Caenorhabditis elegans: one gene and its partner. The protein of the gene in region 1 interacts with the protein of each later gene in a pairwise test. Each region holds a gene or a part of one and is shown on either strand. Other genes may lie near its edges.

The links. Proteins that work in one complex are often made in the same cells at the same time.
Region 2: the proteins of lips-1 (region 1) and R11F4.2 interact in a two-hybrid assay, tested with the Caenorhabditis elegans proteins (one large-scale study listed by BioGRID).

What each region holds. Positions count from the first base shown.
Region 1 is NC_003284.9:12,489,741-12,498,406, reverse strand, and holds lips-1 (Lipase), read right to left. Parts: upstream 5,641-8,666; 5' UTR 5,543-5,640; coding exon 5,442-5,542; intron 4,859-5,441; coding exon 4,768-4,858; intron 4,079-4,767; coding exon 3,897-4,078; intron 3,846-3,896; coding exon 3,707-3,845; intron 3,652-3,706; coding exon 3,514-3,651; intron 3,390-3,513; coding exon 3,230-3,389; intron 3,038-3,229; coding exon 2,961-3,037; intron 2,904-2,960; coding exon 2,790-2,903; 3' UTR 2,366-2,789; downstream 1-2,365. Other genes in the region: tbc-13 (TBC1 domain family member 13), read right to left, coding at 7,629-7,796, 8,605-8,666.
Region 2 is NC_003280.10:4,079,928-4,088,574, reverse strand, and holds R11F4.2 (G-protein coupled receptors family 1 profile domain-containing protein), read right to left. Parts: upstream 5,522-8,647; 5' UTR 5,483-5,521; coding exon 5,372-5,482; intron 4,924-5,371; coding exon 4,463-4,923; intron 3,903-4,462; coding exon 3,644-3,902; intron 3,591-3,643; coding exon 3,504-3,590; intron 3,300-3,503; coding exon 3,214-3,299; coding exon of another isoform or gene 3,210-3,213; exon of another isoform or gene 3,187-3,209; intron 2,642-3,186; coding exon 2,434-2,641; 3' UTR 2,278-2,433; downstream 1-2,277.

The DNA.
Region 1 (8,666 bases):
ACTAACGGAAAATTGAAAAGATAAACTATATCGATATTAGCTGTTTATTTTTCGAGATATCTAAATCTTCATCCGGTAACCTGCGATTTCGTAAATTTGCCAATCAGCCAAGTTCTCGATTACCTAAAAATACAACAAAACCAGCAAAACCGAATTTGCCTATTGCTAAAAATTTTCAATTGCCACGCACATCTGACGCTAAGCAAGAGTAAGAGAGACGATAAAGTTTGTTTTCATATGTTTTTTTTTAATTAGATGTCCAATTCCACATTTGAACCAACATTGTTTAGAGCCCTGACAGAGCCTTTGGGAGAGTAAGCTTTTAGAAAAAATAATCGTGTTGTTTTCCAATATCTAGGCTGACAATGACGGTATCTGACGTTACTCTGGTTATCTGAAAAATGCCAACAATATGATGTAAAATTACTATAATAACCATGATTACATCCCTGTTTGATTTAAGACTGACTCGAACGGCATCACAGAACCAAGTAAGATTTGTCTTTCAATATGATTCAAAGACAGACACATCGTGCGGATAATTTTATTAAGATATAGTAATCGATGTGAAAGATCAGATTATAACAAAACGAACGCCATGCACCTAAGCCTATTAGATGTGTTATGATGATTGTCGTACCAGACACCTCAAAAAATATATGTTCCAAGTCACCTGCTATTATCAAAATGAAACAACAAGACATTCGGAGAAAACAACGCTGAAAACAAGCTTAGGCGGCGTTCCTAACCAACATTTTTGTCGGATTTGCGAACGGATCTCAAAGCTCTTAAATTAACTTCTTTTTCGGAAATTGTATGATCACTGCGTCGAATCCCTATTATACATAGAAGAAGCCAAAAGTTGAAAGTTTAACTTTTCTTGACTTACTAAATTATTGGCAAACTAAGTTTGAGAAGAGCTTGCGAGAATACCTAATAAGTAGGAAAACGAAACTACAATATTGGTGAACTTGGATCTCCTACGAAATGAAAAAATCTCATTAACAATTTTGGAATGTCTTCAAGGAATTATAAATATGAGCTAGTTTTGGGTTTGCACGAAATTCAAAATTTTGTTTCCAAATTGCTCATCTTGCTGGATCAAAATGATATTTAACCGAGAATCCTAATGCAAATCATTTGCGTTTTATCCATCAGGAACCTTGCGGCATTGCCAATGGTGACGCACGATGCACTAACAAAATAGTGCACTATAATTAAACTATGTTTCAAGAACGGTCGCTTTCGTGATGTGCAGCCTCAGTTGCGATGGATCAATTCTGCCCATTGGAGGAAGTTCGGTTGAAATATTTCCGCATTTGTTCAAGATGAATAAGTGGAGAGGTCGAATAAAGAACTTGATTAGAAATCGAATATTAAAAATTACAAATTTGAAAAGAAATCAGTATAAGAAACAAAAAGCTGTGGATTTTGTTATTGTCACTATAAATTGTAACTTGTAATTTTCTAGCACAGTTTTCAATTATTTCAAATCAAATTTAAAAACAAATTCATGTTTGAAAAGCGGACAAAACTGGTTAAGACATAAACTGAAATTTTCTGATAAACATAAAACACATGTCACAACTAAATTCTATTCTGCTATTGCAAAAATATCAGTCAAGTTTGAAGCATACGCTAGAAACAATAATGGAGTGAGAAAAGTTGGCTCAAATTTGAAAAACTCCCTAATTTTGTGCAAAAAATTAGAAGGGGTTTTTTGCAAATCTCTCATTTTCGAAACCTGTTTGAAAAATATTACAGCTTTCTGGAAAAATGTTTAACTTTCATTGTATTTTGTCATGAACATGGGTACTTGTGTATTATACCCCTCATTTTTAAAACAAATTATTTTTTTAATATAAAAAAGTGTGGAGTTTTTGTATTTATGGGTTTAGGGAAGAAACATTTCTATCCCTCAATAGGGAAAACATCACATTTTATAATTTAATTAATTTTAAAAATGAGGGGTATAATACACAAGTACCTTAACATGTTTTCTGTGCATACGTTCACCACTACAGTGTACACATAAGTTGTCATAAAAGTTGTTAACTGATTACAACATGTTCTCAATAATTCTGAGAAATAATTCTTTCTAGAAGATTTTTGAGAGAGCGTACGAAGTTTACATTGTTCTATTGTGCTACATTGTTGTACATTGTGCTATTTTGTTTTCAGATCAATTGCTATAATATTTGCTAGTTTGATGTTGCAAAAATTTTGAAAGCAAAGATTGTCAATTAATCCATCTCACTAGTCAGCGCCTACTAATAATCCCGGAAACATAGTTAATCTAAGCATTGAATGAAAAATGTGTTGCATTGATCTATTTGGTTCGTGATATGAAATCAAAAGGTTCATACACTTACATCTATTTGTTTATCTCAAATTATAATATTATAAAAAAAATAAAGTTAGTAAAAATACTTTACCAAATGTTTTTGGAATTGAATCAAATATTCCCAAAATTACAAGCATTAAAAGCGCTACAACAACAAAAAACTAGCAGTAATAAGAAAGAAAGAACAAACGAAGTAGTGATTACAAATTTGAACAAAACATGGTAAAAGAAAATTATAACGACCCGTTAATTGCTTAATGAGGATACAACCGGAAGATACAACATGAGTATCACATTGAAAGTAGGTAGTCTATTCAGAAATATTAATGATAATTTTGTAGTAGAGATGATGATCATGGAAATCGAGGATGGGATGGAAATGAATGACAAGTGGTTGCAAATTATGACCATAATAAAATTGAAATATTAACTTATAACGATAGAATTAGTATTCCGTTGTTTCGTGAAGACTGAATTTTTGATCGTTCATATGAATGATATTGTACTGGTCTTCGGCAGTTAACAGTTTAACATCGTTATGTTTCAAATCACTGTAGATCTGAAATTGAACAAGTTAGTACATTTCTTTCTATAAATTTCGTTTGCAGTGACTCACCTTACGCATATCTGAATGTGGAACTAAAGACGTTTGCCGTCCCCAAACCATGTTTCCTTTTCCAAGAATTTCATCGTCTGGAATAAACTGAATTAGCTTATTCGTTTATGTTCTATTTTGTTAAATCTAAACGTTCTAAATATAAGGTGTAGGTGTTAATAGTTTCATATTCAGTTCCGATCGAAATTCCGGTTTAAATGTTGGAAAGATTAATCCGATAATCGAATAAGTTTTTTATGTGATATATTTTTGTTATAGGTATTACTCACCATCACTCCATAAGCTTGCAACAAATGATGCGTCCTTCTTTCCACTATTATTCAGGTTCATCAGATAGTTGGAGTAGGGTACTTCTCCGCACGTCTCTGATATATTCACATCTTGAGATGAACAAGTCATTTCTGGGCAGGTGCCAGGAAAGAATCCCGTCTGGAAATTACAAAAAAATGAGTACAGTTTTTAGTTTTAAGAGGCATTGTAACTATTCATAGACTCTTACTGAGTCATTACAATAAGCACCAGAGTGACGTTATTCAAGATAAGATATACTTACTTCCATTCCGCAAGCTGGAAAGGCAAATGCATGTTGACATGGGCACATTCCATAGTTTGCTGACGCAAGAGCAATGAAAGTGCCAATTCGATGCGATAGGTTGGGTCCGATGTCGCAAGACTCAGTTTTGGTCACAAACTAAAAGAGAGCACAATAAATGTCAATGTATTCTGATGTTATTTTTTCACAGTACCTCGCCACCCTGAATCGCTTTTCGGGCAATGCTGACACCCATAGAGTGCGCAACAATGTTGATTTGTTTGGCTTTTGTGTAATGTAAGACAAACTCGAGAAATCGTCGGTGAAGCTGCACATTTTGACAGTTGAAATGCCTGAAAAATTGTGAAATTCCAGTCTAAACTTATATAGTCACGACCACTCACCTGATGTATGAATTTGAAATGTTTCGGTCTCCATAAGTGATACCGTAAAGCTCAGCCAATGTATAGTCTTTTGACATGAAATACTTCAAAATCTCATCCCATCCTGACTGGAATGGACCATCACCAAATTTTAATGCTGAGTCAGAGTTTCCATGTATGAAGACGATTGGTGTGTTTCCTAGCTAAACTTCGTTTATATATATATTTATAGAAAAAATCCAAGAAGTTTTAAAACGTCATTTTATCATTTTGTTTTAAGACTTCTCTTTCTGTGCGTTTCGCGTTTCCTGATCCCTTAAAGTAGACTGAGTTATCTGTGCTCCGCCACCGCAATGACGAAGTATTTGTGCTCTCTATTATGATGATTGTGATTGACGGTGTCCGATCAAAAAGGTTGCTTTATTTTTTTTCTATTCTTGGACCTTTTAGGGAAATACGTAGAAGGAAAAAGGAAATGTGCAGCCATTTTTTGAGTTACTTTTGGGTGACCTTATAATATTTCTCCAACAAAAACACAAAATAGAAAGGTCCAATGTTATGCTGTCAATCTTCAATGAGCCGGAATGAAAATTGCGTGGGGCCCATTGGAATGTTTCGTTATTACGTAGTTTTTTTTTGTATGCTACGTTTTCTTAGAGTTAATGCTGAGAGCATTTGAAAGTTCCCACGCATTAAAAAGCCCAACCCATTGTCTCTGCCAAAGACCTGATTACCACCTACACCTACATTTGAGACTAGCTAGAAACGACGTCAGAATGGCTATTTGCGCTAAAGGAACAGCCTTTTTTGTGACCAGCATCAAGTCTTGATCAGAACACAAAATCACGGTTGATGGAAAGTTCACACCATAACTACCCAACATTATTCATACCTTTTCTTCTGAGAACACTTTTCCACCGAATGAACCTGTTTCTCCAAAAGCCGAGATTTGACGGAGCAACGCATCATTTCGTTTAGGCCGTCTGGAAATGTCAAAAATAAAGTCACATCATTTACAAATGTGTGTTCTGATCAGCCATCATTTCTTCCTTATTTATGGGTGGCTAGTTCACAAACAAACATCAAAGAGTAACAACAGACTATAAAACATGAAACAAGTATGAGCCTTTAATGTAAGTACCAACAGATGAGCTCAGCAAAAAAAAAAGGAAAGTCCAAAAATCTTCCATGTCTATCAGACTTTTGAAAATAAAAAAGCATAGATCATCTCAATATCTAACTGATTGATGAAATTATAAAAGGAAGTGAGGGTGAAATGTAGAAAATGACGATATTCTATCAAAAGTTAATTTAAATAAATCAAAGAACACGATGAAAAGAAAAAAAAACAGACTAGCCATTTATAAATGTATAGTGGAAAATCTAGATCAGTGACAATAAAAATCAAATTCAGAAAAAAAAACTCTTCGAACACCTCTGATAAAAAAACATGTGATTGATTAATAGGATCAGAATAAGCAGAAAAGTGATTGAGAAAAAAATTTATACTTCCAAAGTTAAAGTCAAATGCATGATTTTTTTTCAGAAAGCGAAAATTCAACTTACTTGTTAAGGTGACTGATGAAGTGATCTGAGAGTGGTCCGAAGATGTCTGCCATGGCTGCCGTACAGGACAGTGCAGCAAGAATGAGAATATTGTTAAGCATAATTTCAGATCAGACGACTATGTTCTGCGCCCGGCGACAGAAGATATGAAAAATCTAAAGATGAAGCGGTCGGTGGGAGGAGTTGAGCTGAAGAGCGTCGAGCAAACTAGAAGACGTGAAGAAAAGGGGCAGTGCCAAGCGGCGGTCAGTAGAAAACCAAAAACTTTGGCGCTGCAGAGAAAAAGACTTGCCTTAATGCTCTCTGTTTTTACGAAGAGCTAAAACACAGATTGGACAGATTTCGAGACCGCCCCTTATGAGACATCACGAACGCTCCGGAGACCGCCCGACCGAAAGTAGCTGTAGAATTCTTTAAATTGAGACTGTTGAGATTTGATCAAAGAAACGACGACGATGACGACAGTGTCCGCGTGTGAAACATTGAAGTGGTTCCGAAGAAGTGTAGTGTCCGAAGTGGGCAAAGATTATCGTATCTAAACTGTTCAGAGTTGAAGAATCAAAGGCCCGATTAGCTCAAGTGTCGAATCGCTTCAAAATGTTTGTGATCGTTTATGGCTAATCTTAAAAGAAACTGGAGTAACCGCTGACGTTGATGGAAATCTTTAGTTTACTGTATTCCATCTGTGATTTTCGAGAAACAATGAAACTTGAATCGCTCAAGTTGACACACCTGACAGATGTAGATCAAGTAGTTGCAAGTTTCCGAAGTAAAAAATACGTTACAAAAATAAGGTTAACGGAGTTTTAAGGATCACCGCTCAAAGCAAAATAAAATTACAAATTTTGATCTCTGCCACGATTTTGAAAATTGAACAAACTAAAAACCAGGTAGGAACTTGGGAACTATTTTCCGTTGACCTTAAATGGGATGTTCCTCGCATTAAAAGGTTCGTGTTTTGATGAACATTCGACATTGCTCTTTTGATAATAGTTATCTTATCAGTTCAGTTCTGTTCGTGTAGTGGTCAGTTTTGGATCTAGTTTGGTTATGCCCACTTGCGACTATTCTCAAATGACGTTGTACCCAAAGGTAGCCACTTCCTTCTTGTCCCATGGACCTTTTACGTAGGGTTTCCTGTTGTGCTTCTGATTCGTGCACCATTCCTTTCTGTGGTTCAATGCACAACTTTTCTCAGTTTACGAGATTGTAGAATTGTGTTGTAAACAGGTTTATTCAAAACTTTTTTGGCCGGTTGATTGGAAGAAAATGCATTTTAATTATGAGCACATTCGAACACAAGAAGAAAGAGAACCGAATTTTTGAGACAAAAGAAGGAACATTAGAACAATGAAAAATTATGCTCAAAGTTCTAAATTCACATTCCCATTTTATAATCATTAAGAGAATACTGTTCTGATGAGATGAACTCGGATCAGCAGAATAGAGTCCTTGTAATTGTTGTCATCAACTACGTCATATCTACTCAATGCGCCGCGGGACCCGTCATACATTTATGATGGGGCTTTTCTGACGACGATTTTCGTTCACAATGACCCATTTTGCTTGCTCCGGAGTACTCTCATTAGTTGCACCCATCCAGAAACAAGGCCGAAAAAAGGCTGGTTCAAAACACACAACCTGATCTTGGCCTTTTCTGTTCTGTGCCAGTTCTGATTGGATTAGAAGAAATGTTCTACTGATAAAGTGAAATAGGAGTGTGAATCATGTTTGTTATGCGATAAATTATGCGAAAACATTTGAATGGACAATTATTTAGAACACAAGGGCATGGGAGGGGGCATGAGCTGTAAAGATAAATCTTGGCAACGAATATAACTGTTAAGGCACACTGCGTTCTGGACAAGTAAAAAATGTCAAAGTAGGTGAAAAGTTGAGTGGGGGGGAAGCAAAATGACCAAAGTGTAAGAGAAATGAGGAACCCTATTTTGTTTTCGTGATATTACACGAAAAATGTGATTAATAAAATTGAATATAGTATAAAGTTTCATCTTATTTATAGTAACGAAACGTTTCCGATGTTATTTCGATTTCCTTTCCACATTGCGACACTACATACGTAGAAAGAAAAACGAAGAAAACGGAAGAAGTGAAACATGGGATGGCCTATATTTTGAAAGCTACCTAAGGAATGAGAGGGAGAGCTGTATGGTTTGAATTCATTATCTATTTTTTTATAATTGACAGATTACGCAGTGTGTCGGAGAGTTGCCGAGCATGCCTTGCGATCTTGCTCCCTTTCGATATTTCCTTGGCTATTGGGCGCAAGGCTTTTCCATCTCGAATGTCCTGCGCAAATGCGACGATTTTTGCAATATCGGTGTCGGGATAGTTCTGAAATTTAAAAGTTTGACTTGATTTGAGTCTCTGCAATCTTTTTTCTTGTGATTATATTTTAATATATGTGATCTGTCGGCTTAGTTGCTTCACAAAATAACTGCGGATTAGATAGACCTTTGAGCATAAGAGTATATTCGAAGCATTTTCTGATTACGTAAAAAGGGGTTATAAAAGCTGAAAGCATGTTATCAGAACCACAAAAACAGATTATGAATGTTTCAAAACACGCACTATTTAAGTTTCGAGTACCTACCTTAAATTAAGCTATAAAAACCTAGTTGAATGTCGCATTCGTCACTTGCCATCTTATCCATCAAGTGTGAGACACATTTAGCTAGGCGTTGCGTCATTTTAAAGATATGTTCCTTTGAAAAAAAAAACCCAATAAACCTGATGTTTCCCAGTCTGTCATAAACTTTGCTCTCAATTTAGAAACATCAAGCCACCTTTTCCTACTTGTCTCGTGTTTTTGCTCTAGATATCAAGATGTGATACTTGATATTTGTGTTGAACTCTGTGTGAGAGCGCGAAGCCGGACTTTTCATATTAGGATACAAAACATAATGTTGCAAAGATCGCACGAATTCCCAGGAACTTTTCAAGTTTTAATGTTCTAAAATCTTAAATGATAATGTGAAAACGAAAAGAGCATAGAATAGAGATTAAAAGAGATCAAAACAAAAATATTTCTTAAAATTTTCAGAAAAAAAAACTTTCTGTAAGTTTTCTTTTACATATAATGAAGGTCGACTGAAAACTGAGAACGCGATTTTGTGTTTTGATGTGAGAATATTTTATTTACCTGTAGAAGCCGCACACAAAATGGGAAGTCTCCGTTGATCAGAGGCTCGCGTTTCAATTCCA
Region 2 (8,647 bases), on another chromosome or scaffold:
TTCCAAGAAGGACAAGAAAAGTAGAATTTCAGTATTTTCTACAATGGACAATTGTCAATTACAAAAAGTAAGAATACGTTTTGGGCAACATTTTATTAGTTGTAAGGTTGCCTGTAAAGTGTCTTGTTTTTGAGTTATAGGTTGTTGAAATCAAGACGTTTGCCGTGAAGTTTGCCGGATTGCCGATTTGCCGGTAATGTTGTTTTTCGGCAGCTTGCCGATTTGCCGCTTGCCGAACATCAATTGGCCGCAAGATTTTTTAAAAGACGGAAATTTTTAAATCTCTGCCTTTTTGAAATTTTTCCCATTTTTTTTCTAAATATTTTTAAAAATAGATTTAGGAACGTTAGGATAGAATTTTGCCGATTAAAATTGAAATTCTGAAGTTTCCAAAAAAAAAAGTTATTTGCCGTAAATTTTCGGTAATTGCGGTTTTCCGGCAAATTCAGCGATTAGCAAATTGCCGGTTTTCCGATTTGTCGGGAATTTCCATTTCCGAAAATTTTTTGATTTATCGATTTGTCGATGAAAATCGTTTGCCGCCCACCCCTGGTTGAAATTGCTTTAAAATTTAAAAACCATTTATATTTTGGTAGCTGAAAATTGATCTTCTCTATTTTCTCCTATTTCCAATTGTTGTTTCCCATCTCAAATCTCAGCACTTTTTCGTCTAAAAAGTACCTGAAAACTTTGCATTTTTCCCGATTCCAACAGGTTATTCTACTGGAGTAAAGCAATAACAATTGTCACTAATGACACTTTTGAAAGTGTTCAATACTCTCTATCTTTATCGAACGATTCACTTTTTGTCTTTATCATCTTTGAAGAATACGAGACAGGGGAAAGAGAGTTAAGGGGGGGGGGGGGGAAGTGATAAATGATACGGGGCCCTTCGAGTACAGCTGTTGGAGGAAGATTTTGAGAAAAGATTCTTGTTGAGCATTTGAACTTCGAGGGGAGCCACGTCAATGAAATGACGTGACTTGTGAAAAACACAAAATGTTTAGGAAAATAAAGAAAATCTTTTGAACATCTTGAGATATTCGTTTGAATCAGAAAGGGTCCCGAAGCGAGAATCGGTCTGACCTCGGATTCACAAAGTTATCATTGAACAGACGTCAAATCAAGGATTGATCCTATCAAAAAGGGTCTTTAAACGAAAATGGATCCCGCAGCGAAAGCAATTTTTGTATGATTTTTGAACACTTTTTGAATCGATCGCTTTTTTTTCAGACTTTACACCCTTTTTTCTGCAAAAAAATGTCTGCCTTTTTCTTGTCGAACAAAAAAAACCCAAAAAAAATTCATAAAACCTACGAATTTGATTTTTGAAAGTTTCAATCTATCATTCATCAGTCTTCTTCACATTCCGCTTCTACAAATGATAAGCCATTATCACAAAGAGTACGGTAGAATGGGACATCATTTCACGTGAACTGTGCCCGTCCACACGTGAAATCGAGCGGTGAACAATGAACAAAAACAGCAAAATACACGTGGAAAAGTCCTGGTTAGAAGGAGTTTTGTGGGAGCTTTAGTGGAAATCAGTGAAACTATTAAACATAATAAAATGTTGAACTTTTGTTTTAAGTAAGGCTCTGAAACCACCTGAAATCGATGAAAAATGCAAAATTTGAAGTTTGAAAATTTGAAATGCAAAATTTGAATAGAAAAAAATTTGAAGTCCTGTTAAATGTCGGCTGGTAAAAGTAGTGCCTGTAAAATGTCGGCTGCTCGAAATTGGGCCTGTAAATGGAGAGACGCATGGAGACGCATGCGCCTTACAATTTTAGCTGTTTTGATAATTACCTGTGAAACCTCGGCCGCTAAGCACAGTACCTGTAAAATGTTGCTTGTTGAAAGAAGTGCTTGTGAAACGTCGGTTGCAGAGAATAGTACACACCTTTAAAGTTTCGGCTGCTTGAACTAAAATCTTCAATATATCAGCTGCTTTGGTTAATTCGAAAAAAGCTCAGATGGTCACTCCGAACTGACAAGAAAGCGCTCCTGTCTTACAAAATTTTAATTTTTCCAGCGGCCGACATCTACCGGGCTTGTTCAATTTGAAAAATCTAATGCAGTAAGCTTGCTGAAATTAGGGTCCCCCCTTACTTGTAGATCAAATTTTTCTAGATCAAAACTTCAATTTTAATTTTAGCAGGTTTTGAAGAAACCCCCAGTGTCTGTCTCCCGAAGTTTTCACCAAGTAAGACATGAAAGAGCATCCGGTTTTTAATGAGATGTGAATCTGATAGTTTTTGTGCAAAACCCCATTCAGAATAAACATACCAATTTATTTTCGCTATTTTACCCCGTGATATTGGTCATATGTATGATGAGAGAGGAGAAGAAAAAGTAAAGTATACAATCCAGAAAGGAAAAAAATAATGAGGTGGGTGAGGAGAATGTGCAAATATATGGAGCCGCTTCTTCTCAAACCATATATGGAATCTCTTCATCGTCGTCGTCGTCGTCGGTTTCCTCGTCTCCAGATGTGGTCGCGTGGTGGTTTGAGATGACGTATGAGTCGTTGGCCTCTTTGGTGCCTCCACCTCCGAAGACGAGCTCACTCGAGAGCAGCCTTCGAGCAATGGCAATTGCTACAGCATCGATTTCGGTTCCGATTTGGCGGGAGGAGTCGCTGAAAGAAGTATATGTTAACTGGAAGATAAAATGGTAGGATGATAGCTGGTGGCTCGTAAAGTGTCGGCCGCGGAAACGAGACGGCAGCCGACACCTCGTAAGCTTGGCTAGCTAGGCGAACGCTAGCTTTGCTGGCCTGTGAAATGTCGGCTGCAATCTGCTGCGGACACCTCACGTGCCAACCCGGTCCTGCATACGCCAGCCTGGCCCATGAAGTGCCGGCTGCAGTCAATGGGCTGCGGCCGACATCTTACTGGATTGGTAAAAGTGTGTGCGCCTAGAAGTAAGCTTGTGACGGAAAGTTATTAGGAGGAGAGCAAAGAGAGTCTGGGAGATAGAAGTTTGAGATACAGTAGACATGCGAAATAGATAGCAGAAGTTCAACTACTTTAATTTTCCCCTACTTTTGCTGATTTCTCACGATGCCGGTCTGTCTTGGACCGAGGAATGTTAGGGCGCCCACTACCGCCAACGGCATGGATTGTCTGAAAGAGAGAACGGGACTCAGTGACAGGGTGATGGATAGGTTTCAGATTTCTGCTTACGAAAAATTGATTTAGACAAACTTACAAGCTTCGGGTTACTGTAACATAGTCCTGCTTGCGAGGAGCACTCGTGCTGTGGCAGACGAGAGGTTTGATGGCTTCGCGGATTTCCTGGAATCTTTGGTTTTTTTGTTAAATTTTATGAGAATTGGAAAAGGTTCTGAGAGAAGTTTAGATGCATAATTTTTGCTGTGAAATTTATGAAATTGGAATTTCTAAAACTCGGAAAAAAATCAGAAAATTTTGGCGGGAATCCAAGAAATCAGGCATTTTTTAAAGAATTTTTCAGATAAAATTAAAAAAAAAAAAACCTACCTGATTGAACAAATAATATACAAAAAGACGCGTGGCACACACCAGAATGTAGAGTACTGACGTCACATCGGTGCAAGTTTCGTAGAACTGAAATTGGGAATTGTAGTTTGTAGTTTGCTGTTTGCAACTTTTCAACATACCGCATAAGCGTCTCCGGTTTGTGTTGATTGAAATGCCACGTACTCCCACAGTGTGACACCGACGTTTAGAATATTCGCGAGAAGATACGAGAAAACGATACATACCATCAAAATTGTTGCCGATCGGATTTTCGTCTTATGATCACTTGATAGAAAACGGAACATTTGCGCCGATCTCTGCTGCATTCGAAGAATTTTCACGACTTTGTAATTAAGAATGGCCAGCAGAACGAAGGGTACCAGGACTGTCATGATGTTTCTGAAAGATTTTTTTGGCTTGGTATTTTATTTTTTTAAATAATTGTTTTAATATAACTTTTTTGATGCTTGAATAGAGACAAAATTGAGCAGAAAAAGGATACGGAAAACTTTAAATTTTTTTATTTTCAGCAAGTTGTAGGTCTGATTTCATGGTTTATACATCTGCCTTGTGCCTACACTCATGCCTATTGCCAAAAGTACAGAAAAATAGGCGGTAGGCAGGCAAGTAGGTAGGCGACCTAGTTTTGAAAAACTTTTGGTTAAAAACAATACTTTGTTATAAAAAAAATGTTCCAGAGTTTTCCATTTTCTGAAATTTCGATAAATTCCTTTTGAAATTTCAAGTACTTTTTTAAGTCTAATTATTCAAAATTAGGTCAAATATGCAATTAAAAAATTGAAATTATATTTTTTTTTCTATTTTTTGTTGATAATTTTAGTTTAAAATAAATTTTAGATTCAAAAATATCGGACAAACAATTTTTTTTTAATTTCAAAAATTTTCAGTTCATTTCTCTCTGTAATTTCTCCAATTTTTCAACAAATCCCTGCACCTACCTGACATAAAACCGGTACACAGTTCCATACCAAAACGTGTTCACAATCGGCGACAAGTTCAAATAGTACTCGCTAATCTCGCCAATACAATCGGGATTCTGTTCTATTTGCATTTCGAAAATGATGGGCGCCCTGAGCAACAGAGCCAAAATGAACATACAAAGTGCAGAGAGTCCCCGGCATTGTCGAAATGTGCCGAGGCATTTTGCGCGTAGTGTGATCAGATATCGCTCGATGGTCGCCAGGATGATCAGGTAGCATGAGAAAGTCATTGAGGTTTGTGAGAGAGCAAGTAAGGGTCCCACGTATTGAATATAAAGATTTGAGAGCCAACGCAGTTTCACACGATCTTTGATTATGTCCATTGCTATCACGGGACCGTAGTTTAGAGATAAGAAGCAGTCGGATAAGGCGAGTAGGGCTAGGAAGTAGAAGTGCGTGTGCTTCGAGGATAGTAGGACCTGGAAATTAAAAAGATGTTTTCTTATTGCAGACCCGATCGCCTTGCTGATTGGTCAGGCTAACAATTGGACCAATCACAGGCGCTGGCCCCTCCCCTACCTCATCGTTCATTGGTCGCCATACGATTTACCCAAAACATTTGAAATTTCGTGTGAAGAACATGGGTTTTTGGCAATTTTGTTTATAACTCTCAAAGTTGTTTTAAACTCTCTCAATTTTTCAACTTTTTTTAAAAGAATTTTTGAATATTTCTAATACGTTTTCTTATGTCTTTTTTCCGACAAATCTTGAATGAAATTATTTTTAAAAGACCACACTTTTTTTAGTGGAAAAGCAAAATTTTAAGTTTTTCGAAAATAAAATCAATTTTAAAAGACAAAAATTTTCGTCAAATTAAGCTGAATTAAGCATTTTCCAATTAAAATCAAAACTATGAAAAACACTCACTTTTGATATCAACATATTTGAAACAATTGATAAAACCGATAATGATGTTCCACAAACTGCTACCAGGTACCATCGTCGATCCAGGCTCTCCACCATACACGCCTCGCTCATTGCTGCTGTTTCTGTGATGTTCATTTTGCTGAAAACTTGAATTTTTGAGTTAAGGGCTGTCAATAGAGATGAGATTAATTACAAGATAGATAGAAAATCGAATTTTTAACAGTTTTGCAGTTGGAAATTTTCAACTTGCTCAAATATTCGCTGACTATGAGTTTCGTTAATTTGAAAATGAGGGAGTAAGAGAAAGGGAGAGGGAGAGGGCAGAGGTCAGAGATACAGACGCTCTCGCTGTCTGCGTCTTCCCTTGTTTTTCATATTTAAAACATCGGTATATCTACTTGAAAAGAATAAATTTTAAATTTTTATTTTTTGCAAAAAGCTGCAATTTCATTTGTAAAACACCGATCAAAAAAATTATAACATTTTTTTCTTTCAAAATAACTTTTTTACAGCTCAAAATTGAGGGGTTATGCACCCAGTGAAGCCAATTCTAATCAATTTTAGGTCCGTCCACATCCTAAGTAGTTTCCATTAAAATTTGCATAGAGAAAAAAATGAGAAAAAAGGATAAGAGATAGATAGAGACATCTCTTTTCCTAGAATCAAACATCAATTTGATTTCCTTTGAAATTGGTAGGTAGGTCAAAAAGGACCACCCGGGTTGAGCTTTTCGTAGCAAAAAAAGTAAGAAAATGGAACAAAATCGGGGAAGAAAAGTTGCAATAGATGAGTGGGTGCTCTTTTTGTTGGGTGATGGCGTGAGAGAAAAACCGCTCTTAAAAGAATAGAATGAAAAGCTCAGAAATCTGGGGGAAACCGGATGACGCATAGAATATTACTATCCAAAAAGCCGGAACACTCGGCAATTCGGCAACAGAATTGTTTTGCTCCTTTTTGAAAACTTCAATGTAGGTTTATTAATATTCGTTTTTAAAGTCCCTGCAGGCTAAACCCTGTGAGCATAAGCCTAGCCTAAACCTAAGCCAAAGCCTAAGCCTAAGCTTAAGTCTACGCCTATGTCTAAGCCTAAGCCTATGCCTAAGCTTAAGCCTAAGCCTAAGCCTAAGACTAAGTCTAAGTCTAAGCCTAAGCCTGAGCCTGAGCCTAAGCATAAGCCTAAGCCCAAACTTAAATCCAAGCCTCAGCCTAAGCCTAAGCCTAAACCTCAGTCTCAGCCTAAGTTTAAGCCTCAGTCTAAACCTAAGTCTAAGCCTAAGCCAAAGCCTCATCGTAAGCATTTTGAGAAAAAATCAAACACCTCGTAGCAAAGAGCAAGGAAGTTGGAAATGAAAATTGTCGTGTTTTTCTCAACTTTTCAAAAAATCTCAGAACATGTTTTTCAAAATAAAGTGGGTGGGTGTCGGTGGGGGTGTGGGGATATTTGCAAGGTAATTATTTTCAGGTTTTCCCGAAAATTTGGCGCTTTTGAAATTGAAAATTGGCTGGAAATTCGAACAAAAAACACTGAGTGAATAAATAGCACACCGCCAGACAGGGAAATTGCGGGTTTTCAAACAAAAATTTGTTCGGAATTTGAAGACATACAAGGACCCAACAATGACATACACATACACACACAGACACAACAACAGAAGAAAGAGCAGATCCAAAGAATTCGAAATGAGATGAAATGTTTCATATATTCATGTGTGTTGGAGAGCACTGCCTGCTCTTTTTTTGGGGCGGAGCTCACGGATGAGTTGGGGTTGGCTCCGCCGCCGAGGCATCTTCTCCTTTGCAGAATAGAATGGAGGAATTGAATCAGATGAAGATGAAAGGCGAGAGCTCGCCGAGCACACACACGTCGAAAAAGTAGAGAGGAGGTGACGTGGCAGGGGGGGGGGGGGGACGTCAAAATTGGCGGGTGATCAGTGCCAGTGATCTACAAACGGCTGAAAACCTTTTCCTTTTCAGGCTCTACGCAACACGTGGATTTTCACAGATGTTTTAGATCGTAAATGTAGTTTAAATATCTATGATCTTTGAAATGAATTACTTTCTAGGTACCTGCCTACGTGCCTGCCTACCGCTTATTTTTTGAATTCTAACGTGATTTTTCCTATTTTCAGCTCTGCCTACCTACATTTTTGCCTACATCCCTGCTAAGTTGCACCATTGCCCACCTTTATATCAGTCAGCCTACGTACCTACCTACCGAAAACCATGCTTACCTACACTACTGCCTACCTAGATAACTGCCTATGTACTTGCCTACCAAAATCTATGCCTACTTTTATACCTGCCTACCTTTGTGCCTACCTACCCAGTCTATCTATCGCTTTGTTTTTACATACCTACCTACCTACTTTCCGAAAAGGAATAAGGAAGTTTTGAGAAGTAAAAGTTTACATTCAAAATCAGAAAGGTTTTTGAACATGATCTTATTTTTAATTTGGAAAAATGAAAAATTGAAAAACACAGGAAAATAAGAAAACTGAACAGGAAATTGAAAAATAAAAAGGAACAACAAAATTAAAGATTGTTTTCAAGTTTGAAGGAACTGGAAGTAAGAAACTTGAATTGACAATAGGTTGACTACAAGCCTACGCGCCTGCCTACAGCCAAAATTTACTTTTTTACTTAAAGCCAATTAAGACGTGAAAAGTGGTAATTTGTGATTTAGACGTAGGTAGGCATTGGTCAGGCAAGTATTTTCGTTCCTGTCTGACCTTTGGCAACGCAGAATTGAGCTATGTGTCTGATGAAATGACATCAAATCAGGGGTCACCGTCATCTTCCTCAAACTTAATATGTAAATTATTAGTGAGAATCAAGGGAATCCATCAGTGTACTCCTCTCGCACTTCTTCATCTAACTTCCTTGTAAAATGTGTGCATAACTCTCCCGTCAAGGGAAGTAGGATGACCTCTCCGCCCCGTAAAATAGCTCTTTGTGTCACAAATTATCAATTTTCCCGTTTTCTTTTTGGCTTTTTCGGGAGTGGGGGGTCTAGACATAACAAAATTTAGACCTGACCCCAAAAAAAGAAGTGCACATTGGCTTCTCTATTGTCCTGTCTTCTATTTTCAAATAGAAAAAGAGGAGAGAAATAATCCATGAAATTAGATATAAAAATAGACCTTATTTCAATTCAAATTTACAGGAAAAGTATTCAAGGTCTCGGTCTTCCAATTAATAAAATCGATAATTTTTAAAAATTTACCGTGCGGTGCGTGTGTGGTGCGTGTGCCTGTTCCAGCCAATTTTAAAAATTGC